4 linked regions of the Lytechinus pictus genome follow. The protein of the gene in region 1 purifies or fractionates together with the protein of each later gene. This does not show direct contact. Links are inferred from orthologs where the notes say so. Each region holds a gene or a part of one and is shown on either strand. Other genes may lie near its edges. The genes, in order: COP9 signalosome complex subunit 4-like, DDB1- and CUL4-associated factor 1-like, denticleless protein homolog and DNA damage-binding protein 2-like.

What was found.
Region 2: the proteins of COP9 signalosome complex subunit 4-like (region 1) and DDB1- and CUL4-associated factor 1-like purify together in Homo sapiens (affinity purification with mass spectrometry; 4 studies listed by BioGRID, with this or other methods). This does not show direct contact. The link is inferred for Lytechinus pictus from reciprocal best matches to the Homo sapiens genes COPS4 and DCAF1.
Region 3: the proteins of COP9 signalosome complex subunit 4-like (region 1) and denticleless protein homolog purify together in Homo sapiens (affinity purification with mass spectrometry; 3 studies listed by BioGRID). This does not show direct contact. The link is inferred for Lytechinus pictus from reciprocal best matches to the Homo sapiens genes COPS4 and DTL.
Region 4: the proteins of COP9 signalosome complex subunit 4-like (region 1) and DNA damage-binding protein 2-like purify together in Homo sapiens (affinity purification with mass spectrometry; 7 studies listed by BioGRID and IntAct, counting the BioPlex papers as one, with this or other methods). This does not show direct contact. The link is inferred for Lytechinus pictus from reciprocal best matches to the Homo sapiens genes COPS4 and DDB2.

The regions. Positions count from the first base shown.
Region 1 is NC_087262.1:10,335,193-10,342,550, forward strand, and holds the start of COP9 signalosome complex subunit 4-like, read right to left. Parts: upstream 3,205-7,358; 5' UTR 3,175-3,204; coding exon 3,101-3,174; intron 1-3,100. UniProt on the Homo sapiens protein: Component of the COP9 signalosome complex (CSN), a complex involved in various cellular and developmental processes.
Region 2 is NC_087247.1:55,107,091-55,114,481, reverse strand, and holds the start of DDB1- and CUL4-associated factor 1-like, read right to left. Parts: upstream 3,273-7,391; 5' UTR 3,211-3,272; intron 1-3,210. UniProt on the Homo sapiens protein: Acts both as a substrate recognition component of E3 ubiquitin-protein ligase complexes and as an atypical serine/threonine-protein kinase, playing key roles in various processes such as cell cycle, telomerase regulation and histone modification.
Region 3 is NC_087251.1:16,412,826-16,420,950, reverse strand, and holds the start of denticleless protein homolog, read right to left. Parts: upstream 3,349-8,125; 5' UTR 3,092-3,348; coding exon 3,013-3,091; intron 1-3,012. UniProt on the Homo sapiens protein: Substrate-specific adapter of a DCX (DDB1-CUL4-X-box) E3 ubiquitin-protein ligase complex required for cell cycle control, DNA damage response and translesion DNA synthesis.
Region 4 is NC_087258.1:23,627,955-23,635,786, forward strand, and holds the start of DNA damage-binding protein 2-like, read right to left. Parts: upstream 3,067-7,832; 5' UTR 2,720-3,066; coding exon 2,546-2,719; intron 1-2,545. Other genes in the region: triosephosphate isomerase-like, read left to right, coding at 5,200-5,317, 6,657-6,865.

The sequences.
Region 1 (7,358 bases):
ATTTCCAGTAGATTCCCCCCCCCCAATATTTCTGTTTCTTAATAAACTTCTGGCTTGCCCCCCCTCCACACCCGTGCTTAACCCTTTGAACCCTGGGGGGTACTCGACTAAAAAAGTGGTAGGTATGTGCCGCGGGCGAGACAAAAACCTTTAGAGCGGGCTTATTGTAAAAAGGAGGGTCCTCGGAACAGGCTTCGGAACTATAAATGTTTGTGAAAACGGGGTCCTTGGAACGGGTCGCCAGCATGTGAGTGCGAATGCATCCCTATGGAATGGGCATACGTGCATGCAGCTAGCCCGGCAGCACGGACGCCGGGTGCGCTCGCGCAGAGGCGATGGACGGACAGCGCTCTGCGGCCGCTTTTCACCAAAATTGCAGCACATTGTAGCGGATCAATGCAGCCAGAACACCGTAACGAAAAATATGCTAAGCTTTGGAGCGGATTTCTTTCTTCTTTTCTCTCGATAAGAAGAAAATGCTATGCTTTGGAGCGGCTTTCTTTGATCTTTTTCTCAATAAGATAAAAATGCTATGCCTTGGAACGGAAATTTGAGTGTAAAAATGGGGGTCCCCTCCGCAGCACATACCCACAACGCATTATATACTGAGTGCACCCCCCCCCCCCCCCCCCCCGGTTTGAACCCTGAATTAATTGGGACGATCGTGACCCTCACCCTGAATTATAAACAGATATCAAGCTTATCAAGGAATACATGACATTTGAAATAAATGATTTCATATTGTCATGACTCGAGCCCAGCCATGTCATTGTCACCTTACTCTGCTGATACCCAGCTGATGTTGTTTAGCTTCCCGTACTAACAATAATCTCAAATTCTGTCTCAAAATCACTAATTTGACGGTAGAAAATTCAACAATGAGCACTCATTCAATGAACAAGGTTATGATAGAACCTTGTTCTCTATAACTATTTCCTGTGTGGTGAAGTAAGGTTGGCAAATGTTTGGCTTATTTTCTCATGTTCTTGGGGAAAAATGTTTAGATTTTTTGACACTGTCAGTTTCCATACAACTATTCATCAAAATCAATAACTTGGCTCTTAAAGATCAAGTCCACCCCAGAAAAATGTTGATTTGAATAAGTAGAGAAAAATCAAACTAGCATAGAACAATTTTCTTGCAATTTTACTTTCCACCATGCACCAATAGAGGGTGTACACAAAATATGCCCCAAATTCAAGGTTTTGAGAGCTCTGGTGAATGAAAAAATGATTTCCAAGTTAGTCCAATGAGTAATGTCTTTAGTCCCTTTATTTTACTTTATCATGAAAAATAAATTGCAACTGTAATTTGTATTGTTACTATGGAAATTAGTATTTTGGGTGACCAAAGTCAAAAGTGATATTTTTAATGAAATTTTAAAGTGTGTGCTGTGTACTGCATTGGCATACCATAGATCTACATGAAGATTCCCCACAGGCAGGGGCTGCAGTCAGGGTGACCAGACGTCCCATATTTCCCAGGATCATCCCGTAATTTGCTTTGTCCCGGCGTCCTGACAAACCCTTCCTGGGACGCCTATTTGTCCCGTATTTCAGAATATTGAACAAAATGTAGTTAATACATTTAAAAGTGACGAATTTTCATAAAATAACCAACAGATGACGAAGCAGAGACAACAATCAAATCAATAACTAAACTTTAAAGTTCTGCAGTGATTTTCTTGCTAACCATATACATTGAAAACGAACTGGCCTCCTGCCTGTGTGTGGCAGGCTACTAGCTAGGCAAGTAGGATCGCAGCAGATTCTCAATGGAGCAAACAACGACACAAAATCGGTGGGGAACTTGTATAATTACATTATGGATTCTCAGATTACTGATTTGGAGATGTAATCGGAGGAACAAGTTATTGAGTTTTCATAGCTAGATCTAGGTGTTTCAGCTTTCGTTTTGAGTCTTGTTATGTATGATGCCACGTTTCATCTAATTTTAAGTTGACAATATTTCACTTTGAAATTTTATTCATTTCTAAAACATTTAAGTTTAAAAAAAAACACCAAATATCATTATGATTTTCGATAGATTGGATTGTTTTTGTTTGCTTGAAGTTTGAACTTTTTTCCTCTTTCTTTTCTATCCTTCTTTCATCCTTCTATCCATCCTGCTTGCCCTTTTTTGTTCGATCTATCTTTATTTCCGATCTTTCTTTCCTGATCCTTTCTCTCTCTCTGTTCATTTTTCTTTCCTTCTTTATTCAATTTCCATTTTTATTTCCTTCATTCTTTCTTTCCTTAAACTTTTCTTTATTTGCTTCCTTCTCCTTTCCTCTCCTTTTTCTTTCCGTTCTTTCTCTCCTTCCATTATTTTCTTTTTTCCATTCTCTCCTCCCTTTCTTTCTTTCTTTGTTTGTTTTATCTTTCCTTCTAATTCTTTCCCTTATTCTTTATTTCCCTTCCTACCCTCCTTCCTCCCTTCCTGTTTTTCTTCTTTCTTTGTTTCTTTCTTTCAAAGGAAACATTATTATTTCCTTCATTCTTTTCTTCTCTCTCTCCTTTATTTTGTCTTTCACACATTTATTCATCTTCCCTTCCTTTCTTTTCTTTCTATATTCAATTCAAAGAATGACGGAAACCTTTTTTCTCTCTATTAAAAGTATTATTCTTTAATTCTAACTTTCTTTCATTCTTTTATATTTGTTTCCCTTCATTTTTTCTTTCTTTATTCTCAATTTATCTCTTTTCTTTCGTCTTTTCTTTCTCTTCTTCATTCTTCGTTCACCCACCCTTCCAATTCTTTAATTATATTTTTTCACAAGTCGAATACTGTGTAGCCTTCTTTGTTGATCTTTTTTGTCAATTTTCCCGTATTTCATTTTGTGAAATCTGGTCACCCTGGCTGCAGTGAACAAGTGTGAATGAGAGGATCGAGGAGCCAATGGGCAATGGGTATCCTCATACTGACAAAAGATATAATGCGTGGGACTACACTACAGTATATGCATACAACAAAAATGTTAATCCCACGATCTTCTATGATGAAAGGAGGGATCAATTATACTCATAAAATAACAATTTCCTATTAAAGAAGACAAATCAAACATTGAAAACTATTTTGAATACTCTTAAATGATATTTACTTTTCTGTTAGGTCTTTTGGAGCCCCACCAGCGCTCAAGAGAGTCGATAATTGTTGTTTCATGGAAGCTGCCATGTTGAGCGAGACTGATCAATTTGTGAGAATGTAATAATGTGATGATAAATTACACTTATAAAGAAAAGTTTTCTGCCAATAATAAAATACATTTTTAAAGCAAAATATTTTATTTATATCAAATTTGTGCCTAACTTTATTCTTAGATAACACTTTTTAATATTTATTTATTATGCGAGGTTGTGTGGTAAAAACGTATGCGAAATACGAAGTGTACAATTACAATAGGCCGAATGGAGAGAAGACCATTGATCGGCGCGTGATTTTGAACAAATGGATGGTAACGATGTCCTCGATTAAAGTAGGATTTTCTCATTAACCGTAAGATATTTTTTATCATCAGCTCATTGATATTACATGTATGGAAATGGTTAAATGTACTTTAAAGTTCCAAAGCGATTGGTCTATTATGAATCAGTTTATTTGCAGTTTTATTACGGCCCTGTGATATAAAATTGCTGCATCACTAAATCAATTCGCCACGTAAAAGGTGCTTGGGTGGAGAGCTTCGCTGTGATCGAAGCCGTGACCCCACTCGATCGCGAGGACAATTTTGGCCGTGCTTGTCGGGGCAGTGAGTGTGTCTTGCCTGGTAGTTGACGGCCTCTGCATGGGTTAAACATGGCCTGGCCAGTGTATTGTTGGACACAGACTCTCCATGCTGTAGTCTACCATGGAGGACAATGCTTCATGTATGTTGTTAGACAGCTGGCAACCGTCTGTTTCGAGAAGTTTTTTTTAACATTTTAAATTTTGTTTAATTCTCCTCGTACACACGTCACAAGACGGCTCGTGATTGTGCAGCCGCCATAGAGCCTTTAGAGGGTAAACATAAATAACAATGCAAACTCCTCCCGATAGGGCTCATGGATTTTTGTCTTTATTTCTTAAAAATATACAAAAAGAACTGGACCTAAATAAAGATTAGTATTCCGTTTTGGCCTGAAGTGCACCTAAACGGGGAAAAATAAACTTAAAACTGGGGAAAAATAAAAAAACAGTGACTTACTTTGGCTGTCACGCAACTTCACATCCCTGTTTTATCCGAACTTAAGACATAAACATAAAGTGTATGGCCATCGAGTCCTCTGTACAGATCGAGCTAGAACTTCGGTCTCTGTATTTGGTGAGTGGAGCCAACCAACCAACATACATGTAAATGTAACAGAGACCGAAGCTTTTTTTTTAAGTTTTAGTCTAGTTAGACAGCTGGTAGCCGTCTGTTTCGAGAAGTACTTTTTTAAACATTTTAAATTTTGTTTTAATTCTACACACGTCACCATGATTAATAGACGGTAGCGATTGTGCAGCCGCCATTATTAGGGGGTTAACATAAATAACAATGCAAAAACCCCTGACGGGCTCATGGACCAAAATAAAGATTAGTATTCCGTTTTGGCCTGAAATGCACCAAAACGGGGAAAAAACTTACTCAAAAGGAAAAAAACAGTGACTTTGATAGTCTACTTCGCAAGCTTCGGCTGTCGCGCAACTGCCACTTCGAGCTTCCCTGGTTTTTCCAAACTTAATACATAAACATATGGCCATTGAGTCCCTGTACAGATCGAGTTAGAACTTTGGTCTCTGTAATTGGTGAGTGGAGCCTACAGAGTTCAGCGGAACAACCAACATAACAGAGACCAAAGTTTTGGTCTACAGTACGTATGCATGTATGAATTCCTAGATTTTTTGGTATGAGTTTCCTATGAAAAAAAATGAATTAGAAATTTAGATAATTTAGAGTAAAACTAAGTACCCAAATATTGGACACTTATATTAAGTTAAGCATAGATCTAAATTTAATTGGACCAAAACATCATTGTCCATTGAATCAAATAAAAATCATATGTACATGTAACGTTTGTCATTAGATCTATTTTGTCAGGGTTGGCGATTTTTTTTATAAAAAAAAAATAAATTGATAGGATTTATTTGATTTAAATCAATTTTTTTTTATTCAAATCAGATTTTTTTTTTTTTGACTATTTTCTAAAACAAAGTGGAAATACCAAAAATATAACCCTTACACTGAAATCTTTTTAAAAATCATACATTTCACAACTAAAATTATTATTAACTTTTCTATTTCATAATTAAATCCAGCCAAAATGTAATTTATAAAGAATACATGTATGCAGGTCTGTATAAAGTCATGACGAAGATGCTGTTTCCGCATCCTCTCGTGTCGGGTATTTAGCTCCTACTGACTGGTTTGGTCAAGTTGAGGAACTGCCTTGGTACAGCTAATAAGTTAGTGTTCCTATTCAAATATGAAATGAGGATCAGTTTCTTTGGAAGAATTCCATGACTCAGAGACTCATATTCTTGAAAGAGAAACATTCTTGATTTTCAAACTAAGGACTGAAAATCATGTGTTTAATAAAAAAAACTCCATTTAAAAAACAAATTTAAACCTCCTTTGGTATTTGAGCCATGGTTGGAGCTTTGTTATTGTTTAAATCATTGATTTGCAAAGCTGTGTCTTATTGGGAAAAGTTGCAGGTTTATTTGAATTATTTCTTTTAGTACAATAAACCAGGAGTTGTACATTGTACTTGTACATGTTTCAATGGAAGTGATTTAAATCAATGATTTAACAAAAAAATCATAGTGAAAGTGGAGTAGGGGGCTAAGTGGTAACTGCGATAAAGGATTTATTCATGTTTTGATGATATATTGTTGATAAAAAATTTCTATTTTGAGTAAAAAAAAGTAAAACTGCCACAAATAAAAAAATTGTCAATCATTTGTACATGTTTTAATGGAAGTGATTTAAATCAACGATTTTTTTAAAAAATCATAGTGAAAGTGGAGCAGGGGGCTTTAAACCGCTTATGAAGGAGAATGTTTTGATGATATATAGTTGATAAAATCTTTCTATTTTGAGGAGAAAAAAATAAAACTGCCACAAATAAAAATATTGTCAATCATTTGTACATGTTTGAATGGAAGTGATTTAAATCAATGATTTTTTTTTTAAAATCATAGTGAAAGTGGAGTAGGGGGCTTTAAACCGCTTATGAAGAAGAATGTTTTGATGATTATAAAGTTGATAAAATCTTTCTATTTTTAGTAAAAAAAAAGTAAAACTGCCACAAATAAAAATATTGTCAATCATTTGTACATGTTTCAATGGAAGTGATTTAAAGGTCAAGTCCACCCCAGAAAAATGTTGATTTGAATAAATAGAGAAAAATCAAACTAGCATAACACTGAAAATTTCATCAAAATTGGATGTAAAATAAGAAAGTTATGACATTTTAAAGTTTCTTTTATTTTTCACAAAACATTGATATGCCCAACTCGGTGACATGCAAATGAGACAGTCAATGATGTCCCTCACTCACTATTTCTTTTGTTTTTTATTGTTTGAATAATATAATATTTCATTGTTAACAGATTTGACAATAAGGACCGACTTGACTGAACCATATAGTATTGAAAATTGAAAATTTTACAATGTCATAACTTTCTTATTTTACATCTGATTTTGATGATATTTTTAGTATTGAACAATGCTTATTCCACATGTTCAGGGGGGAATAAATCGTTATTTCACTTGACAATCAGGAGAAAATTAGAATATTTCATATTTCATTCAATAAAATACAAAAGAAATAGTGGGTGGATGATGTCATCAGTCTCCTCATTTGCATACCAATCAGGATGTGCATATAACTGTTTTATGAAATTAAGCAAAATTTTAAAATGTCATAACTTTCTTATTTTACATCCGATTTTGATGAAATTTTTAGTGTTATGTTTGTTGGATTTTTGTCTTTTTATTCAAATCAATATTTTGTTGGGGTGGACTTGTCCTTTAAATCAATGATTTAAAAAAAATCATAGTGAAAGTGAAGAAATATAGGAGCGCCTTGAGCACCTAGCAAGGTGGATACGTGCACTATACAAATCCTATATATTACTTATTATTATTATTGTCAATCATTTGTAATATGTTTCAATGGAAGTGATTTAAATCAATGTTTCTTTTTATTTAAATCATATGAAAGTGGAGTAGGGGGCTTGAAATACTAGAAGATAATTTGGGATTACATCAGCTTACTCATTGCATATTCATGCAGAGAAATGTTTCACCGACATAATAATAGAAACTTTGTTTTTCCTGTTCTGACTTTTATTAAATTTTCTCTTGTTCAGTTATGTTAATTTCAGCCTGGAGT
Region 2 (7,391 bases), on another chromosome or scaffold:
TACATTGGCCCTCTTTCTTTCTTTTACTCATCACGCTCATCACGCTATACTGCCACACAGGGGTTTGCCCTAATGATCGTGGACAATCATAAAAGATATCATTTTCATACCATGTGACTGGGAAATTTTTGGCTCCACCCCCCCCCCCCTCTCGATCCCTGCTTTCGATTTTGACTTGATAGGGGCCTATACCTGATGTAATTTGCTTCAATATAAAATCATAACGAAAAGAACGCCTTGAATACAGGCCAAACAGCCTAACGACATTGCTGTGTCACGTGACAACTAGTATTACACGAGGATGTACACAACCCTATGGCGACAAGGTTAGTCGCAAAAGTTGAGCAAGTTCTGGACAAAAAGGCTTCAGTACCCCAAGAATAGACCAGGCGAGTACTATTTTATTTATTTATACATTATTTTCCATAAGTAGTATCGAGGGTCTAATTTAAAAATAGATTTCGTCATGGAGCTCCATGGTAATATCTAGTAATTTAAGTCCAACTTTTGATTCGCGTGCACTCACTTTTTTAACACAGGAATTGATAGGCATGGTGCCTAGAGACTGCTAACAGTAACACTAGGAAAATGTTCTATGATCTATAATATGAAATTAATATTCAACATTTTTACCACAGAAATACATATGATTTTTATTTGATTCAATGACTGTATTTTTGTTTTGGTCAAATTATGCTTAAGTGTCCAATATTTGGGTACTTTACTCTATTGTGTCAGTGAGTGGTGAACTTGTCTTGAGCTAACCCAGGAAGCTCCCGCCCGCGCAGCGGGCGGGAGCCCAGGAGCTTACCGTGTATTTGACCATAGTCACCGGACTAGGGTGATTTAATTATGGTCTAAATATTTCTCCAAATGAATTGTGAAAACAGAAAGTATACAATTACCACGATTATATGGATGAAGGTCTAACGAGTGGCAGTTTCCTGACATCTGGGCACAGACTGGATCTGGAACCTCAAAAAAAAAAAAAAGTTCTCTCCTCTACCCCAGTCTCGATCGGCCATTTTGTTACGATTTTTAACAAAAATGGCTGATCGAGACGGGGGTAGAACTAGAAGGAGAGAACTTTTCGGTTTTTTGAGGTTCCAGTTTGTGCCCAGATGTCAGGAAACTGCCACTCGTTAGACCTTCATCCATATAATCGTGGTTATTGTATACTTTCTGTTTTCACAATTCATTTGGAGAAATATTTAGACCATAAATCACCCTAGTCCGGTGACTAAGGTCAAATACACGGTAAGCTCCTGGGCTCCCGCCCGCGCAGCGGGCGGGAGGCGAAATTATTTTTCCCACCGAGTTCTGGACCGACATATGAATATTCATGACTTGCGTCTTCGGATTGAGAGTACGCATGCGCGTGGACTTGGCCTCGACCAGTGCCGATCGTAAGCATTCACGTTGCTCAGAATGAATTAGCATCGTCAAATTACTCTTATAGGCTTAGATCTATATATATATATATATATATATCCAATTCTTAAACACTTAATAAACTAGCTGCCATTAATGGCAAGACATGTGCTAGGGTAGGGCTAGCTTAGGCTAGCGCATTAACTTTACCTCAAATCTGGACCTGTCTAATGCCTAATACTAATAGGAATAGCCGACTAATGCCATGGTTAACTTCGAACTGGTTAATTCCGAACTTCACGTTTAATTAGGTTTAGACAAATATTAGCTTATTTGCCATGGTTTAATATGTCTAGTCCGTATACAAAACCAGTCCTAGATCTAAAAAAAAAATATCTTATATAGTTCTAGTCTAGTCTCTATATCTAGACTCTGATCTACGCTGTATCAGCATGGAACCAGTAGTGTACCAAGGGTGGGGGGAAGACTGTCCCTCTGACGAGTCACAACTGATTCAGGGGACGTGCCCCCTTTGAGAAGCCATATTAATAAATTGTAATGTAAAAATGCAATGAAAAAGACGTATGTCCCCTTTTTTTAACGTGAAGATCTTTTTTTTTTTTTTTTTGCTTGTCAATTTTTTTTTCAGCTAAGAAATCCATAATTTGGGGTGAATACCCTTTTTTTTTTTGGGGGGGGGCTTGTCACATTTTTTCGCGGACGAAATACCCTCTAAAAAAATTGCCCCCCTTTTGGAAAATCCTAGGTACACCAGTGCGTGCATGGAACGTATTCTAACGTCAGGCACAAATTAACGTCAGTGATCTTGATCCCCGTCTTCACCCAAAATTAAGGATTTCGTAGCTGAAAAAAATTTGACAAGAAAAAAAAAAGATTTTCACGTTCAAAAGAGGGGACATACGTCTTTTTTCGTTGCATTTTGACATTACAAATTATTAATTTGGCTTCTCAATGGGGGGGGGGCATGTCCCCTGGATCAGTTGTGACTCGTCAGGGGGGCAGTCTGCCCCCCCCCCCCTTTGGTACACTAGTGGTTCCATGCTGATAGCGCGTAGATCAGAGTCTAGATCTAGAGACTAGACTAGAACTAAGATATTTATTTTAGATCTAGGACTGGTTCTGTATACGGACTAGACATATTAAACCATGGCAAATAAGCTAATATTGATCCAAACCTAATCAAACGTAAAGTTCGGAATTAACAAGTTCGAAGTTAACCATGGCATTAGTCGGCTATTCCTATTAGTATTACTATTAGGCATTAGACAGGTCCAGATTTGAGGTAAAGTTAATGCGCTAGCCTAAGCTAGCCCTACCCTAGCACATATGTCTTGCCATTAATGGCAGCTAGTTTATTAAGTGTTTAAGAATTGGATATATATATATATATATATATATATATAGATCTAAGCCTATAAGAGTAATTTGACGATGCCAACTCATTCTGAGCAACGTGAATGCTTACGATCGGCACTGGTCGAGGCCAAGTCCACGCGCATGCGTACTCTCAATCCGAAGACGCAAGTCATGAATATTCATATGTCGGTCCAGAACTCGGTGGGAAAAATAATTTCGCGGGCGGGAGCCCCCTGGGTTAGTCTTGAGCTTGCACTTTGCAGTTGCACACCAAGCAAAAATAACACAACACGGATACAAATAGCTGGGATCACACCGTACCATCCGCATCACTCCCAAGCTGCAAGTCCCATGAAATAACTTGAAAAACACGCAAAAAATACAACAATACATATCAATAATTACTAACTATATTTCTCATAGAATGAAAACCTATCGAAAATGAAAGAAATTATACAATACCGAATCCAGAATATTATGTTTTTTCGGTAAAGTTTCAGCCAGGTCGAAGTACTAGTCTCACATACGGTAACGCGCACGTGTAATAGTGATGTTGGACTTAAACTTGCAGTTAGTTGCGTATTGTTGAAATATCGAAATCGAAGCTTATACGGCCGGTGTATACTGTCGAAATTGATTGATCAATCTGTCAACTGCTATAACCAAAACCCCTAAAACGCACGGCACAAACCCTGGGGCGCAAACACAATAAAAAGTGGGTTTACCGGGATGGTGAGTCAAGCAAGTTTCTCAATCTTCAATCTACTTTGTTGAAAAAACAACACAACAAATTAAGAGCCCCCAAAGAGCACTAATCTGCAAGGGGAAAAAATGAAAAGTAAATCGTCTTGAAGAGCAAATATTTTCCCAGTCATAATCAAAGGCGTAAATGAGCCAAAAAATTTGAAGGGGCTAGATGTATCGCATATTTTTTTTAATTGAGAGAGAGCGAAGAGCGAGTGGGTAAAATGTTATGTTTATCAAAAATCAAATTTCAATTTGTGATAGATTTTGACAGTAATTACGTTATTCAGAATATATGATATCATATTTCACCTTCATTCTTTCCTTTTCTTTCTGAGCTTCCCTTTTTCTTTTGCTGTCATTACTTTTTTGGGGCGCCCCCCCCCCCCCCCCCCCATCTGTATATGCCACTGGTGAACAGGATTTTGTTGTGGTCGTTGGTGCGAAGCTAGCTCTATGCAAGAGTGTAAAGCGACAAATGAGGGGGCACAGCAAGGGGCATGTGGCAAGTTTCTTAAAAGTTCCTTTTCGTTGCAATCTTAATTAAGTATTTTGACATGATATACCAATGAAAACATTACATCTTCCACTTTTCCGGTCCTTAATTCCTTCTTTTCTTTTTTGTTCTTGGTCGTAGAATCTTTTGGGGCCACAATTAGGCCACAAGCCCCTAAAGCCTTTTATTAATTTGTACATCAGTGCTATGTGGGTGGGGCTTGCCGGGCGGATGCACGGAGCCCCAAAAACCTTACCAAATTCAGCCATTTTAATCGTGAAAGATGGCCACTTTCAATCGGATCAGGGATTTGTTTTGCAAACCACATTACTTCATCGTAGTGGCATTATAAACCAAACCTTTTGAGGGGGTACATTATTGGGTATAATGTGGGAAAAATTAAAAAATATCCTGAGCGAGCGAAGCGAGTAAGGATATTTATGGCCTTATGAAATAAAAATCTAATTATTTAATTGGAAGTGCGTGTCTATCCCTCGGCTAGGGACATCGGCAATGCTCGGGCGGTACCTCCGGAACCTCTCAAAGTTCAGTAATTTTTTGTCCTGATTAATTGCGACCGTTATTGCATGAAAATATCAAGCTATTTTTTGCACATAATACGCCATCTGATTCTTTCTTCCCGTTCTTTATTTTTCATCCTCGGCAACCCGGTCGTGTTCTTAATTTTTTTTTTTTTTTTTTCGATTCAGATTTTATGTCAGCATTTTCACTCAATCCATTCTACCCAATATCCCGTTTCTTTTGCCCCCCCCCCCTAGGCCCTCCATAAATTCCCGTTCCATTTTGCCATCTCTTAAAGGGATGGTCCGGGCTGAAATATTTATATTTAAAAATAGAGTAAAATTCACAAAGCGAAGTGGTGAAAATTTCATCAAAATCGGCGGGATAACAAATAACAAAGTTATTGAATTTTAAAGTTTATCAATATTTTGTGAAAACAGTTATATGCACATCGTCATGAATATTCATTAGGTGGGCTAATGATGTCACATCCCCACTTTCCTTTTTCTTATGTTATTACATGATATCATAAATGTTTCATTTTTTCGTGCATGTGTAAATGATGTGTCTCCATTATGATGAAATAAGTTGCGGCAGTACATAACTAAACACTTTAATCAGTTGTCAATCCAATTGTTCTAGTTCGTGGTAGAAAATTTTTGAATAAACCTAATTTCATATAATAAAATACAAAAGAACAAGTGGGGACAGGGGCGTCGATCAATTTTTCAGATTGGGGGGGGGGGCAAAATCATGAACCAACGTTCCAAAGGCGCTCGATCACACAAAACAAACAGACTCACCCACACACTCACACATAGGCATATATATATATATATAGTGTGTGTGATGATAAGTTTACTTCTACCAATCGCTGTTGAGTTGTGAATATTAAACATAATGAGATGAGGCGAGGCCAACTCAACAGATGACGCAGGACACCATTATTTGCTTTAGCTTTCGTCTTTTAATTGAGACTTCATCAGAAGCGTCTGAAAAATATAAGGAGATACAACATCCAAGTTTGTTTTGCACATCAATGAATTATCACCAAGTTGAATATATTCCATAATGACACATTAATGAATGAACAGATAAATAAATTAATGAATAATAAATAATTAATTCAATTAAAATAATAATGATATAAATGAAGAAGACATACCTGTAATTACAGACTATTGTGATAGTTAAGTATGACCGTATCCTATCTCGTTCTTTAGGAAAGTGGCAAAAATTGCACAATGAAAACAATGGTTGCTATAGTATGAAGAGAATGTTATTCAGATGACATTTACAGTCACCTGTTAGTGAATTCATTATCTAAGCGATGAATGTCCATCTCTTCATATGTCCATGATGAGAGGAAGCGTTTTGCGCCCAAGCATATGCTAGATATTGGTCACTCATTGTATAAATTGGCACTTTAAACCTGTATGTGTAATGCAGAGTACAATTTTGTATTCGTGCGAGGGAGCATTGCGACCGAGCCTTTTCCCCCACCTACCATTGCACAGCCGTAGATGAGTTACCTGCATGCCATATCCACTGGCGTAAATCCGTGAGGTGAACCTATAATTAAATTGTTCAGGGGAAGGGGGTGATCTATTGTTCACCCCCCCCCCCCCCCCACTTGAATAGCATGACGTCACAGACTTACGCCAGTGCCATACCCCTTAATATGGATATTCCCATTACTTGTATGCGAGTGAGCGTAGCGACAAAACAAGGCCTTTTGCAAATTTCAATGGTAAATCTAGTAAATAATATTAGCATTACGCTGCATACACTTGATGAAAGAGATGTTGTTGTGTTATAAAAATCTTTCTTGTGGTAAATGATATTCATCATGAAATGTTCACCAGTCGTTCTTAAAGTTGAATTAAGAAGACGATTCCAAATATTGAGATATTTACATTAATAGCAACCTTACAACCCCCCAAACACTAAGAGGTGATTCGACCCCCCATTTTCTTTTTTCAAAATAGTGAATTTGAACGATTTATCCCTACCCATTTTCCCTGAGTTCGCTCCTGCAATGCCTACCGAGACGGGTGTTCTTTGACTGTGACGTCACCGGGGGGTATTCGGTCCCGGTGTAGTAAACAAGGCAGTGCCGCTTTGTGTACTATGCACGTACGCCTTCATATGGAATAACTGCAGTTGAAGTTGTATCTGCGAGCCATAGAACTTGCAAAGAGGAAATGATTAAAATATTTGTGGCCGTACTATTATTCCAAATTTGTTGGGGAGGGAAGATGAGTGGATTGGCGCTGATTAGAGATTGGGAGACATGTGCCCTCTATGTTAGCTTTGGGAAAAAGCACTTCCAAACAACAAGGTCCAATCTGGACTAACCGGCCGCCCGCTCCGGCGCAGCTAGCTGTCGAGCTAGCTACCGTACCGCATACCTTTCTTGTTTTCTTCAACCATAGATATGTACGTATACTAATTACTATAATATCCCTCTGTCTTCAACTCACTTGCGAATTGCGTTTGTATGTGTGACGGTGACCCCTAGCGTAATTAAATATAGAAAACAACTCAGAAGGCCGAGAAAGAATAATACGTTTGGTTCAAGATTGTTCTGTGGAACTGAGCTATGAGTGGAAATGATCCAGAGGATATAAAAGTGGAGTCAAAGACAAAAGAAAAGAAGAAAAAACGCCAGGGGATCGCTGCACGGCCATGAACTAAGTCGACATACCAGACCATAACAGTACACCAGCTTCCCTGAGTACACTCAATGCCTGGGTGTTGTGTGTACTAGTATTCTGCAATCAGCGCGCGCTGAGCGAGAGCTGAGCTAGCCGCCGGAATTACTTTCCAGCTATTCACTTGATTGAACATCGTGATAAAATAAATGAGAAATAGTGAAAAT
Region 3 (8,125 bases), on another chromosome or scaffold:
GGTCCAAACTGCTTGGTGTTGGGATTAGCCTTAACCCGCTGGATAAGGTCCTGTCGGACAGGTGCTAGGGCTGGACAGGTAGCAACCAGATGTTCCACATCCTCGCAGGCTGACATGCACAGACGACAGCAATCATCAGGTGCTTTGCCGATCTTGGCGAGCCTGGCTTGGGTCAGATAGACTTGGCAAGAGATCTGAGCACGGATGGTGATGGCTGACTCAGATTTGGATTGGCAATGTGCCCAGGGTACAGATCCTTCGCCTTTGGCTTAGGGGTTCTAGTCCAGAAGGACAAGGATGTCTTGTTGGTAAGGGCGTTATGCTGTCTGGCCCCGGATACCTGAATCACTACCGACTGAACCATTCGCTTCCATAGATGGTAGCTAGGGGGATTCCTTACAAGTTCATCAAGTGGGGAAGGCTGAATTTTGTTTAAGTGCAGCACGCCATTCTTGTACGGATTTGGTGTTGGCACAGATACCATGAAGAAGCATCCTTCGTTCTATCCTGTCCATGTCAGTGCTCAAGGTCTGTCCCAGGAGTAGGAGCTTTTCCTGGGTGACCAACAGGCTCATTGGGATTACATGTATGTCAGTGAGAAGATATACTGCTTCGTCGGCTGATGTTGTTGGTAGACCCAGAATCCGCTTAAATAGGTGAACCTGTGCTTTATCTAGGCGATTCAACATTGCCCTTGAAAAGGGAATGCTAGAGCAGCCAAAGATCATCCTGGTAACACAAAAAGTTTTCCACAGTTTTGCAGCGACATGGGGAACTACCCTTGCTCCTAGTGGTGAGGTTCCCACAAGGGCATAAAATGATCTGTATCCCTTTGTGATCGCATCAGCAGCGTAGTCATACTGAAGATGTCAGTCCTGACGATGCCAAGGTGCTTGTGTGAGGAGACCTGTGCAATCGGTTCACCATTGATCTGCCAAGAGTTGCCACTGTTCTGAAGATCTTGATTAAGCACAATGATTGCACTCTTGGAGGGGTCGATCTTGTAATTCCACTCCTGGGTGTAATTAAATGTGACATTCAACATCTGTTGCAGTTCCATGGGCTCATTGCTAAGAAGTGCAATGTCATCCGCGAAGGCTATGACCCCAACATATAGGTTGCCGACTGAGCAGCAAGATGACACTCCCTCAGACGCTTAATAAGGTCGTTGATGTAGAGAGTGTACAGCATGGGGGAAAGCACTCCCCCTGCCTTACTCCTTGGAGAACAGGAAAGGAGGGACCAACTTCATGCTTCCAGAATACCTTGCTTGAGCAACTGTTGTAAAATTCAGTAATGGTATCCAGCAGCACTGTAGGTGGATGAGTCGCTGCTATCTTCGAAAGGAGACCATCTTGCCAGACCCTGTCGAATGCTTTCTGGGCATCCAACATAGCTATGTACAGAGGTTAGTTGAGGGACTTGTACGATTCGATGAGAAGGTCAAGTGCTTTACCTGTAAGAGTACAGGACCTCTCTCGTTGGAAACCAAATTGCAACGGGTCTGGAATTTGGTGTTCTTGTAAGTGTTGGGAAAGTTTGGGCTTTACCAACAACTCAAACAGCTTTCCTAAGACTGGATTCAGAGTGATACCCCTATAATTTCCTGGGTCTGTTGGATTCTTGCTCCCACCTTTGAAGAGAGGAATGACAAGGCCATCTTTAAGGCTGAGAGGAATGTGCTTCAGATATATCATCCAGTTCATCATGATGAGGATAAGGATCCTAGTGGTGCACCCAGTGTACATTAGGTGCTCAGGAGAGATGTTGTCTGGACCACTAGCTTTGTCAGGCCTTAATGAAGAGATGGCCAAGGACAGCTCCTTTGAAGTGAAGAGATGGTCAAGCCCTTGTGGATGATGTATAGCAAGGGAGTCCATATTCTCAGGATGTGTTGGATTCAGAGCCTGTGTAGAACTGAAGTCAGATGGGGTGGCAAGATCCTGGAAATGCCGAGTCCACCCCTGGATGATATCGGGCCCAGAGTAGGTGAGACCTCCAGGGTTGAGTTGGTGCACATCAGAGCCAGGGCCTCGTTCTTTCACTAGTGTATAGAACAGTCTGTCGTTGTGTTCGTCGGCTCCCTCAATTCTTGACAGAAGACCATTCCTGCAAGCAGCTCTTGCTTGTCTAAGCTTAGCACGGAAGGCTTTTTTCAAATTGGCAGATAACACACCAACTGGACTGTTCTCTCCTTCTACCCCAGTCTCGATCGGCCATTTTGTTAAGATTCATAACAAAAATGGCCGATCGAGACTGTGGTAGGAGAGAACTTTTCGTTTTTTGAGGTTCCAGTCTGTGCCTCGATGTCAGGAAAATGCCACTCGTTATACCTTCATCCATATAATCTTGGTAAGTGCATAATTTCTGTTTTCACAATTCATTTGGAGAAATATTTAGACCATAAATCACGCTAGTCCCGTTAGTATGGTCAAATACACGGTAAGCCCCTGGGCTCCCTGGGTTATACATGATAGCGAGCCGTCTGTGTACGAGAAATTTAAAAAATAAAAAAATGTTGAATAACTTCTCGAAACAGACGGCTGCCAGCTGTCTAGGTCATTGACATCAATGGATGTAATCTAAGTCTAATGGAAGAAGAAGTAGGACCCCTATATAATTCTAAACTAGGCCTATAAGTATAATGTAAATTTTGGTAAAATTTTGATGGATTTCAAAGTAATAGAGGTATAATAAACTCGACGTTAGCCTGTGGGCGTGGGGTCTAAAAATTATGACGTACATTTCTCAACTCAAGAAGACCTTTCAAAAAGATTAACTTGAAAGCTCGATAGCGAAAATTCAAGCACATGATTTCATTAACCCATGTCAATTTTTGCATAATTTGGAGTATTAAGGTGCAAAATTAACTCTAGGCCTACGCAAAATTTTGTGAAAATGACATGAATTTCATGTTAACTCAATAACTGACTGTGGTAGTGTGGAACGTCATTACTAATACTATCTCAAAATTCTCATTAAACTAAATGAGTAAAGTAAAGTTGAACTCACCAATATTCTTTGTTTGTGATTTCCAAGCCCAGCGTCGGCGATCTTGGTGATAAGCAGTAATCAAATTCCTGGATGACATTGTGAAAAAATGATAAAATCAGCTGGCTGGAGATTTTCTGGTAGATTTAAGTAAAATCTAAATTAATGGTTGGCGTCTAAGCTTAGAATTTCAGTTTCGTTTCACAAAAACTTCATTTCCACACTTGTTTACGTTGTATCTGCAATGCATCGAATTTGGCGCGCCTCCCGAAAGATAGTTTCAAAACCCAGACGCTTTTTAGATCTATCACGGACGAAGCAGCATACGCGATGCACATTGTTGCACGATTTTACATCAAAACGCCTAGCTAGAGCTTAAAGATTTGAACCCGGAAGTACATGTAGATTCGCCAATCTAAAAATTCTAAAAGAATTTTACACACGCCAAACAATATCTCAAGACTTGAAATACCATGTCAAGTGCAACTTCTCGTTTGTCAAACTTCGGTACTGATGTCGGATATGGAGAACAAGAACATGATGCAAATTCAGCTCTTCTTGAGCTTGATAAAGGTGAGCATGAGCAAAATTGCAGCACTATTTGCGCTAGTTGCCGACCGCGACCCCCGCCGCGACCTGCTGCAGGCTGTGCAGCTGCACAGGCACGTCCAGCACAACTGCTGCCTCAGCTCTCCCGTCTTTCTCCAGTCCAAGAGTCTAGCTTCGCGCTGCCCGGGAGTAGCGGCGTGGATATGCCATGGCCTGGGGCCGATTGCACGTAAGGGTCTTTGCAAGAACCGTCTTTCGTGTCGCACATTTATTATGATGCGCCATGTGAAACGCATTTTAAATGAATTACCTGCAAACATATTTTATTCATCCGTTTAACTTTAAGTAGACAATTTATGAAATGATGTAATAATATCATGAAATCGTATACAAATTACAATTACAAATTGATTTAAATGCCAGCTAACGAATTCTATTTAGTATTTGTTTATCATCATACATTTCAGTAGGTAGGACAACGAAAAAAAAAAAAACATTGCTCAAAACTTACCATAAAATTTCCTAAGTAAATAGTGAAAAATAAGGCTGGCTTAACTGCAGAATACCCCGACACTGCTCACTACCCAATCGTTGGTCAGCCAACACAACGATGTCAAGACCTATAGCTATATACTAATTCAATGGTATATAGCCTAGATATATCCATACTATTATATACGTACATGCATTACTGGTACTACTACTACTACTATACTACGTACGTACGTACGTATGACGGTACGTACGAGCAATGCATCCAGGCCATACGTAATGACCTTTGCCCTTTGACTACTACTAGAGCTATAATTAAACATCGTTGGGTGCGCTGCTAGCCAACGACCCACGTTGTGACGGTACGGACGGTGCAATATAATATTCAAAACATCGTTGGCTAACCAACGACCCACGATGTGAAACTGTTATATTATAAAATAAGATTAATACACTCTTTTAAATTACCTACTAGAGCTATATACATCCTTGGGTGCGCCGCTAGCCAACGACCAACGATGTGACGGTGCCATGTAACATTTAAAACATCGTTGGCTAACCAACGACCCACGATGTGAAGGTGCAATAGTACAAGATTAATACACTCTTTTAAATTACCTACTACTACTAGCTATTGCTATACATCGTTGGGTGCGCCGCTAGCCAACGACCAACGATGTGACCGTGCAATGCAACATTCAAAACATCGTTGGCAAGCGTTTCAAAGTATGGTTTCACAAAACAGTTTAATATATGCATATCCTGGTTAGTGAGGTGATCGATGTCATTCACTCTCTATTTCTTTTGTATTTTTTATACATGAAATATTTTCATTTTTTCTTCATTAAAATATGAAATAAAGTTTTAATTCCCATTGAAGGAATTCAATGGGAATTGAATTCAATGGGAATTGAATTCAATTAGGGTTAGGGTTAGGGTTAGGGTTAGGGTTAGGGTTAGGGTTAGGGTTTAGGGTTAGGGTTAGGGTTAGGGTTAGGGTTAGGGTTAGGGTTAGGGTTTAGGGTTAGGGTTAGGGTTTAGGGTTAGGGTTAGGGTTAGGGTTAGGGTTAGGGTTAGGGTTATATTCACATCGTTGGCATCGCCGGCAATGTTGGCCTCTACAACAGGCATATTCACATCGTTGGCATCGCCGGCAATGTTGGCCTATGTAAGATACATTCACATCGTTGGCACTGTTGGCATCTACTACAGGCACCAACACATCGTTGGCATCGCGGGCGCTGTTGGTATATACATACTAAACATACATTCACATCGTTGGCATCGCCGGCAAAGTTGGCCTATACTTACTAAAGATACATTCACATCGTTGGCATCGCCGGCAATGTTGGCCTCTACTACAGGCATATTCACATCGTTGGCATCGCCGGCAATGTTGGCCTCTACTACAGGCATATTCACATCGTTGGCATCGCCGGCAATGTTGGCCTATGTAAGATACATTCACATCGTTGGCACTGTTGGCATCTACTACAGGCACCAACACATCGTTGGCATCGCGGGCGCTGTTGGTATATACATACTAAACATACGTTCACATCGTTGGCATCGCCGGCAAAGTTGGCCTATACTTACTAAAGATACATTCACATCGTTGGCATCGATGGCAAGGTTGGCCTGTACTACAGACACCAACACATCGTTGGCATCCTGGCCGGCGCTGTTGGCCTATACGTACTAAAGATACATTTACATTGTTGGCATCGTTGGCACTGTTGGCATCTACTACAGGCACCAACACATCGTTGGCATCGCGGGCGCTGTTGGCCTATACATACAAAAGATACATTCACATCGTTGGCATCGCGGGCAAGGTTGGCCTATACTACAGACACCAACACATCGTTGGCATCCTGGCCGGCGCTGTTGGCCTATACGTACTAAAGATACATTTACATTGTTGGCATCGTTGGCACTGTTTGCATCTACTACAGGCACCAACACATCGTTGGCATCGCGGGCGCTGTTGGCCTATACCTACTAAAGATACATTCACATCGTTGGCATCGAGGGCAATGTTGGCCTGTACTCTACAGTACAGACACCAACACATCGTTGGCATCGCGGGCAATGTTGGTCTACATAGGAAACTACAGATATGATCGCATCGTTGGCATCGCGGGCACTGTTGGCATGTACTACAGACACCAACACATCGTTGCCATGGCGGGCAATGTTGGTTTACATAGGCAACTACAGATATGATCGCATCGTTGGCATCGAGGGCAATGTTGGCCTGTACTACAGACACCAACACATCGTTGGCATCGCGGGCAATGTTGGTCTACACATACTACGGAAATATACACATCGTTGGCATCGCGGACACTGTTGGTCTACATACTACAGAACACAGATATAGATCGTTGGCATCGAGGGCAGTGTTGGCCTGTACCGACTACAGACACCAACACACCGCTACCATCGCGGACTGTGTTGGCCTACACGTACTACGAAAATATACACATCGTTGGCATCGCGGGCAATGTCGGCCTACATACTACAGATGCACACAGATATATATATAGATCGTTGGCATCGCGGGCAGTGTTGGCCTGTACTACGGACACCAACGCACCGCTAGCATCGCGGACTGTGTTGGCCTACACGTACTACGAAAATATACACATCGTTGGCATCGCGGACACTGTTGGTCTACATACTAATCGCGCGCGCTCGCATCGTTAGCGTTACAGTGCAGTCTGAACACTTAGAATCTATTCAAAAAATACTTGTAAGTTGTAAATCATTCAATTATTTATTATAGCTGATTTTCTGATTTGATAGCTTAAGTACATCGTTGTGCGTTGGCTCTCCAACGATAAGGTAACGCAGTGTCCGGGTATTCTGCAGTTGTTCCATAAGGCTTAAATGCTCCATAAAATGTGTCTGGATTTGCATACAGCATTTTGGCCCATCCCCATAGGCACACACAGCTACATCTCAGCCGCCGACTACAGAATAATTGAAGGCACGGTGCATTCAACAAATAACGTTAATTTGCGAAAAATTAATACGAGGACTTACAGAATGAAGTCCTCCTACAAAACTTACGAAACGATGTGAAGTCAATTCCTCATAATTTGATGAATATCCCTCAAACACAAAATGCGTCATTTAAGCGTTGATTTTTCTTCTCGTTGACAAAATACGAGAGCTACCTTTCTAGCTCTCAAATTTTTCGTCTAATGAGCGAAAGAGGGCGCGCGATTTATCTTCATATCAAAGACACTACAATTGAAAGACTAGACACAGAAATTATCTTACACGTAAATCGATGCAAAGCGTTACGCGAAGTCGGCAAAGTGTTCAATCTTTTTACTGTAAAGACTTTGGTGGAACGTTAATTGACAAACGAACGGTAGCACTTGCTGGGCTTTGTTCAAGGTACATAGAATTTTCTATATTTTTTGTTTAATTTGTCATCGTTTTGAATATTTTCCAAAAAGTATTATCGTCAGCAAAAATAATAAAAAAGTATGTTTTTTAAGTTATTGCATTTATTGGGGTCTCTATTTTATCAAACAATTATTGGAATTGCGCATACAATGAATAATGAATCTAGTTTTAAAAATACCACCAAGCCGAATTAAGGTTGCGAACTGTATTAGCGCCACCAACGACCTTCCTTTTATTTCCGTGGAAGAGACGTGCGAAGCCACTTTCCAGGCGGAGGTAAGCGATTTTGCTCTTTTTTGTGTCCTTTTTAAATTAAAAAAATATGTTAAAAATTTATAATGGAACGCTTTCTACCAGAAAAAGCCCTGGGGCGGTATTCTGAAAACGTTCTTATCTTAATTTTGTTCTTATCTACGTCACGATCTGAAATTGGTATTCTGAAAACGTTCTTATCTTTTTCTTATCTTTTGTTCTTATCTTTTTCTTATCTTGCTAAACATCCTATGCTGAGCGCGTAAATGTATTACTCGCGCATATAATACAAAAGCGCGCTAAAAAGATAAGAACAAAATGAAGATAAGTGGTATTCTGAAAACGTTCTTATCTTTTCTCTTTCTTATCTTTCACGATATTTATGATAATATTTAAGATAGCTAGAGGGTTATCACGATGT
Region 4 (7,832 bases), on another chromosome or scaffold:
ACAGTTTCACATCGTGGGTCGTTGGTTAGCCAACGATGTTTTGAATATTATATTGCACCGTCCGTACCGTCACAACGTGGGTCGTTGGCTAGCAGCGCACCCAACGATGTTTAATTATAGCTCTAGTAGTAGTCAAAGGGCAAAGGTCATTACGTATGGCCTGGATGCATTGCTCGTACGTACCGTCATACGTACGTACGTACGTAGTATAGTAGTAGTAGTAGTACCAGTAATGCATGTACGTATATAATAGTATGGATATATCTCACTCACACAACATGCGAGGTTAGTATACTAACCTCGCACAACACATGTGATTTCATAGTGCATTTTGACGTTTTCATTCATCACACGAATGTGAGGGACTAAACTACGCCAAACCTTTCAATATTTGTCCACTATGTTAATCTTGATCGTATTTTTTATGTTTATTTGAAAAAGGAATTATAAATTATTTATTAAAGTGTTTTTATCGCTTACCTCCAAATCTCAACCAGGATACTTCGCTCGGTCCGTCCTTAGTCATCCTTCGTACTGCAGTGGAAATTACGCAAACAACAATCGAAATGCGAAATTTTCCTATCGAACATTCTCGATTCAAGTCGTCGGCGCATAATAGGAAATTGTACCAAAAATCAACATAGTTCTCTATTTATTCAAACAATTTTTTCTGGGGTGCACTTGACCTTTAAGAGATTTTCCAATGAAAATATTACATGGAACTTGGAAATACAAATCATAATTTGGTTGAACAAAATGTTTTCTGTTAAAGTATAAAACAGAAGAGGAACATATCCTTCACGTATTTTTATATCCAAAATATGTTGCCTTAGTATGGAATAATCACAATGACATAAAATGAAAATGGGTAAAGTACCTTCCTAATGATCATTGAGATTTCGCCTATGGAATCATTGTTTAATAATTTTCAAAGCTTTAAATAGATGAAAATGTTCATTGAGAAAATATACATATATATATATATGAACAAAATGATAATGTCCCGATTGTTTCGCATTACGTGTGTTAGATTGCGGGCGTTTGTGTGTGTGTGTAGGAAGCAAGATATTCGTGTTAATGTTTGCACAAAAAAGGAGAGGGAAAGGGAAAGGAAAAGGGGAGGGGGAAAGGTAGAGGAGAGAGAGGGAAAAGGAGACCATAAAATAGAAAGAAAACAAAGGAAAGGAAGAGGGGAAGGGAGAGAGAAAGAAAAATGGAAATAGCGAGAAAAGAGTAGGGGAGGGAGAAAGGAAAGAAAAGAAGGGAAAGGAAAAAGGGAGAAAGGGAATGGAGGGGGCGGGAAAGGAAAGGAGAGACAATAAAAGACAGATCAGGGGAGGGGGAAAAGTAGAGGAGAGAGAGGGAAAAGGAGGCCATAAAATATATATAGGTCTCCTCATCATGGTTATAAAAAGTGCTCAGAATGTTTTATTTTCAAGTCCTTGTATCAGAATTTTCAGCTCGGGCAGCTCTATCGCATTTTGATTACTATCCTGTTGATTTATTTACTTGAACAAAATATTTAAAATGTCCAGCTTTTAGAACAGATATCAAAAAAAGGTATTCACCTTTGATCATAGATGAGGAAGAAGAAAAAAGTGCAAAAAAATAGGAAACAAACTAACGAATTAATGGGACATAATTTTTCTTCATTTCAAGGCGACTCTTGACTTTACATTTCATCATCGCTGATGGCGCTACAAATAATAGAAAATACCGCTTGACAGCAAAAAAAAAAAACAGAAAGAGGAAAATAATGCTGAGCGTCTAAAATGCAGCTAGCAGTACAACCTGCAGAACCGTAAACAAACATCTTGTGAATAATATCGCGCGCCCTCTTTAAGCAAAAGTTTACAACCACAATGACCCTGCGGTATCTACGTGAAGATCACGAGAAAATGCTTTTTTTTTCTTAAAAACACACCAAAGAGAAGACAAGAAACGATCCATATGGTTCGGTAAGTGTCATAGCACAATTAGAAACATTATTTTAAAAGAAATGGCATAGTTATTTTAGTAAAAAGGGTGTGAAAAATTCGCGTGCACCATGTGCATATGAATCCTTCGCACGCGAGATGCATTGATCCCATGAGTGGGATATATCTAGGCTATATACCATTGAATTAGTATATAGCTATAGGTCTTGACATCGTTGTGTTGGCTGACCAACGATTGGGTAGTGAGCAGTGTCGGGGTATTCTGCAGTTAAGCCCAAATATTTGTCATTGATTGACCGTACACGTCTTCTTTTTGTAATTGTATCAACAAACAACAAGTATAAATTGATTTGACTTTGTCAAAATTGATATATCCCTTCAATCATCATTCAATGTAAATTAGCTCCTGAATTTTGCAACTGATTCCAAATATTTTACTGTAACATCCCCTAAGATGTTATTCCAGGCTTCGTTGAGAGTAAGCATACGTTAGTAAATTATTTTTACTCTCTAGAAGCCTCCTGGCTAGTCATGCCATGGTTGTCGTATTGTTTCTCCCTCCCGATCCCGGCTCCCTGGAGCGACACCGCGCGCCGCGATCCACTCACCACAGTTCTGCTTCTGGCTCTGCTGCTGGATCTGGATCGAGTTTTGGAAACTTTTTCTTTCGGGAGTTTCGCGACATCTCCGACAGTTGTCACAATGCATCCCTTAGATCCATCTTTCTTTTTCCTTGACATAGACGGTGCCATTTTAAGCGATTCAGGGATCACAAATTTCATCAAAATCTAGCTTCGCCTCTGACACATCTCAGTGCGGTGGCAGTACATTTGAAGTACGTCCACGTGCTTATATTTCATAAGCTCATGTCAGCTGTTTGATGTTTACAAAATAGGACTTGCGTAACATTTTTCCCGCGATATGGTCCATATCGAGAAGTGGAACTGTCTCCAATGAATTTTTATATGCAATAATGTTTTGATGCACTATGATAAATTAAATATTTATATATTAAAAAGTAATAATTTGTTTATTTCATTTACAGTTAAAGTGTTAAATATTGTTAAAAGTTTTTATCGTCTTTACAAACTCGGCAAATGGGTACGTGCAAGAAAACCGGAAGTAAATCAGACTGACCTGGGAGTTCCATCCAGGTCAAGGTGTACAGTGCATGCAGGACAGAACTTGATTGCAGTTCCTCTTCGAATACCCACCTCTTTTACTCACCTGTACGACTGTATTTCATCTCAAAAGACAAAATGGCAAGTGGAAGGCGTTTCTTTGTTGGTGGAAACCACAAGATGAATGGAAACAAGGCGTCGATCGATGGAAATTTGAAAATATTGGAAGAAGCACAGATTCCTGGAAACACCGGTAATATATTGTCGAGCTGCGCTGAGCGGCCGCGGGCACGGCCATTGCCACTGTCACTGACTGTCTGGCACTGGCACTCTGGCAGTGACACTGACAATGCTGAACATGGTGTAAAAAATGCCCATGTAATGATAATTAATGTTGTCGGTCGGGGGGGGGTTGTAACTTGTATATTTCATGCTTTTTGGAATTGGTCACCAAAACGAAGTTGCATTTTCTTTCAATATTTAGGCCCCTATTTGTGAAATAGAAAAAAGTTTGCTTTAATTTTTCAGAAGAATCAAGACAATTTGTCATGTTTGTCAATTATCATGCAAAATGTTTTACTTTTTTCATTTTTCAATCTCTTTTTATTTTAGAAGAAATAATTAAAAGAATCAAATTTACTTAAGAGCCAAGTTATAATAATAATATGATTAGCTGTAATGGACTCTGACAGTGTCACACAATCAAGCAATTATTCCAGAGAAAAGAGAACATTGCCAACCTTATTTTGGCACACATGGGCACACATCCTCTACTTTGAATGCCCTCTACCAAGGTGCTTCAAGCCGTGTCACCTGGAAAGGTTCTGTCAGTTCCTTCATCCCACTAAACAAGGGTGTCAGACAAGGAGGAATACTCTCTCCCACGCTGTACAACGTATTCGTTGATGGCCTCGTCAAGACTCTCCGGGACAAGGGGCTTGGCTGCACCTTCCAGAATAGATACGCAGGTGTAATTATCCTTGCTGATGATGTTGCCCTTCTTGCAAGTTCTCCCACTGAACTTCAGCAAATGCTGAATGTCACAGATGAATATGCCACTCATTGGGAAAACTCTATCAATCCCTCAAAAAGTGCCATCCTCATCTTCAAGTCAAAGCGCAGCATCCACCCATCCTTCCAATTCTTCATTGACGGTGACAGAATCAGAGAGGTCTCTCATCATCCCCACCTTGGCATCACCAAATCAACCATCGCGTATGACCACACTCAACACATAATCACCAAGGGATACAACACCCTCTTTGCCATCATCGGTAGCAACAGCAGCAATAACCTCTTCCTCCCCCACACCCTTGCGAAGCTCTGGAAAACTTTCTGCCTACCCCGAATGACCTATGGCTCACAGCTCCTGTGTTTCACTCAAACCTCACTCAAACACTCCCTTTTCAAGAAACTCTTGGGTCTACCGAGATCTGCCCCCAATATCTCTATCTTCCTGTTAACTGACCTACTTCACCTCTCCCGCGAGATTGAACTAAACACTTTCCTTCTGATAGGACAGCTCTTCAACATTGACCATATTAGATTTGAATTTTGCTCATTCCTCCATGCCCTCTCCATCAAGACTCCTACTATCATCTATTGGAATAAACTGCTCTCTAAGTACAACCTTCCCTCACTCACCTCTCTCCTATCTGAAGATTTCTCATACCACCGTTGGAAAACTCTGTGCAGGAGTAAAGTGTATGATGCCAAATGGAAGAAGCCAGAGTGTGCATTGAGAAATTCTCATCCCTCAGCCTATGGAGTAACCTCTCAATGCTCCCCAAGATATTGTCACTTTACCCTTCTTCACTACCGACCCATCTTCGATCAGCTGTGATTTTACGCGCTCAGCTGCTTACGTCCACTTATCCCTCACAACGAAGCTTAGTCACCATCGGGAAGAGCACAGACCCAACCTGCAAGCTTTGCTCTCTAGAGGAAGAAACCACTACCCACTTTCTTGCCTCATGTCCAGTCCTCTTGACTCAGCGTCTGGACCTACTACAGCATGTTGAGAACCTTGACTTGCCTGCACACATCCTAAATGATTTCATTGGAAATGACCCCCTCATCCTTGCATCCTCCATCCTCTTTCCCTCACACTCTCTGCCCTCCTCCTCTGCTTCCTCTCTGACATGTCACTGCCTAAGATACATCTTAAAAATCCACCTATGTCGACAGCACCATCAAGAAAGGACCTGAACTTTGCGGCTTGCCGCCGATCTCCGAAGACCGGAGGAAGGAAATATACAAGTACAAGTACATGGAGTACAAACAGAGAACAAAGTTCCCTGTTTGTACTCAAAAATTTAGTCGGCTTGTTTAGACATTAAATGAGTGTCTCTTTCCTTGCATGAATATTCCTCGGGTTCAAATTTCCTTTGGTTGACACTTTTTTTAGATTACATTGATGGTGAACTACCATCCCTTGCATCGGGGGCAGATCCAGTATTTCCAAAAATGGGGGCACATTTTCCCAAGGAAAATTTGATAAGCCAAAAAAAAAAAAAATTGTTAACACTATTAATGAAGGGGGAATTGATTTTTTGCTACGGGATGTAAAATTTGAAGAAAAAAGTCAGGTGTGAACGACATATTCCCATCACAAATATTTATTGAAACTCTCAAACACACTTGTGTATGAATGACATATTACATTGAAAATATTGACCGACTCAAAAGGGGAGGGTGGCATGGGTCGGATGTGCCCCCCCCTGGATCAGCCACTGCCTTGCATGTTATTTTTAGTTTTGCAAATTTTACGTAATTAAGCCTGAGTCGGAATCGATTTTAAAATCGGTGTTCAATCAATGTCATCGAGCGCCAGTGCAGATTTTGTAAAATCGGTGCGTTGATAAAAAAAAAAAAAAATTACAGTGTGAAGGAAAGAAATGCGGCAATTTCGTTTGGTACACACAATCATTGAAATAAACAGTAATGTCTAAAAAAATGAAACCTATTGTGTAATTATCAATGCCTATTCGCCATTAATTTGAAGTTTATTTTGTTCCTAGTTCAAGTCTTACTCGTCTGTTCGTGCTGAGATAATTTATGCACGATGAATTCATGAATGGAATTTATCGTCATCGATCGCGCATGCGCACTGCTTTAATCAAGCCAGAAATTTATGACGCGATCAACGTAAAATAAACCTTGTTTTCGTTAACAATATTTTTATTATGACCATAGAACCACTCATTCAATGAACAAGGTTATGATATAACCCTGTTCTCTGTTTTTTTTTACACTGTCAGTTTCTATCACTAGCTAATCATAATATAACTTGGCTCTTACTTAAATTTGATTCTTTTATTTTTTCTAAATTAAAAATAGAGATTGAAAGACAATTTTTTTGCCACATTACTTTCCACCAATAGTGGGCGTACACAAAAATATGCCCAAAATTCAAGTGTTTGAGAGCTCTGGTGAATACAAAAATGATCCCCAAGTCAGTAATGAAAAATAAATTGTATGGAAATTAGTATTTTTGGTCACAAAAGTGTTATTTTATTAATGATTTTTTAAAGTGTGTGCTGTGTACTGCATAAATTGGTTGCACAAATTACATTCTAGTCCTTGTTCGTTCCCACAGATGTTGTCGTTGCCCCGCCTACCGTCTACCTCTCGTACATGAATGCCAAGATCCCAACAGGAGTGAGTGTCGCTGCACAGAACTGCTACAAGGTACCCAAGGGAGCCTTCACTGCGGAGACGTCTCCGGCTATGCTGCAGGATCTAGGGGTAGCGTGGGTGATCTTGGGACACTCGGAGAGAAGGCATGTCTTCGGAGAGACAGATGAGGTAAGTCGGTGCAAGGGAGTGTTCCATGAAAGGATTAGCCTGATGTTTTATCAGTCAGTCTGTTCTATCAGGAAGTGCAAAGTTCGAATTCCAGCTATGAGTCAGATTTTCTGTGACTCAAGGTGAGTTCACAGGCATTGTGTATAACGTACAGGGGGATTTAAGGACGTTCCACAGTTATGTTTGTGCGCATTACGATCTGCGCATATTTTACACTCTGCGCGCTGACGTCACAATGGATGAACAGGTGATTAATTACCTGTGGGTATGAGCTGATTTTTTTCATCATCTGCACTCTAACTGCAGATCCGATGCGTTATCTTATGAAGCTAAAAAACTGGTATTATTCCATGGACCATTAAAAAAATATCTCTACAAGTTCAAAATACTTTACTCTGCAATGCTGCCAAGAATCGTGAATATGACCCCGAGTTTGAATATATGGTAGAGTGGTTTTGATTTTTTCTTCTCATAGATACAAAGCATTTGGCGCATTTTCGGTGTTTTAAAAAGCACATTTGCTCTAATGAAAATGCTGATAAGTTGAAAACAAGCACATGAACCCCTATTTTTTAATGTTTGCACCTCTTAGGTATACCTTCCTCTACAACTTTGCAAATTTTTGTGAAAATGACATGGATTTTGAATAAAGTGCAGCATTTATTGTCCTTTTGTAGTTTGTTATTGAAATTTCACATTTTTTAGATTGGGTTTTTGTTATCTTTTACGCCATTTTTAAGAACTGACAGTGCTGTTAGACTTAATATGGTAAACAAATAGCACTATAAATAGATTCTGCATTCTAACGATACAATTATGAACTCTCTTGCGAAATTTGATTACGTTTTCATGTATTTTGACTGAGTAATAGAGGTTTAAACTCATTGTAGTGATCTTGCGAGGTCTAAAAATGCCAAATTCTTTTGAATTCGCAATTCTTAAGAACATCCAGTTGGGTGAACTTTGA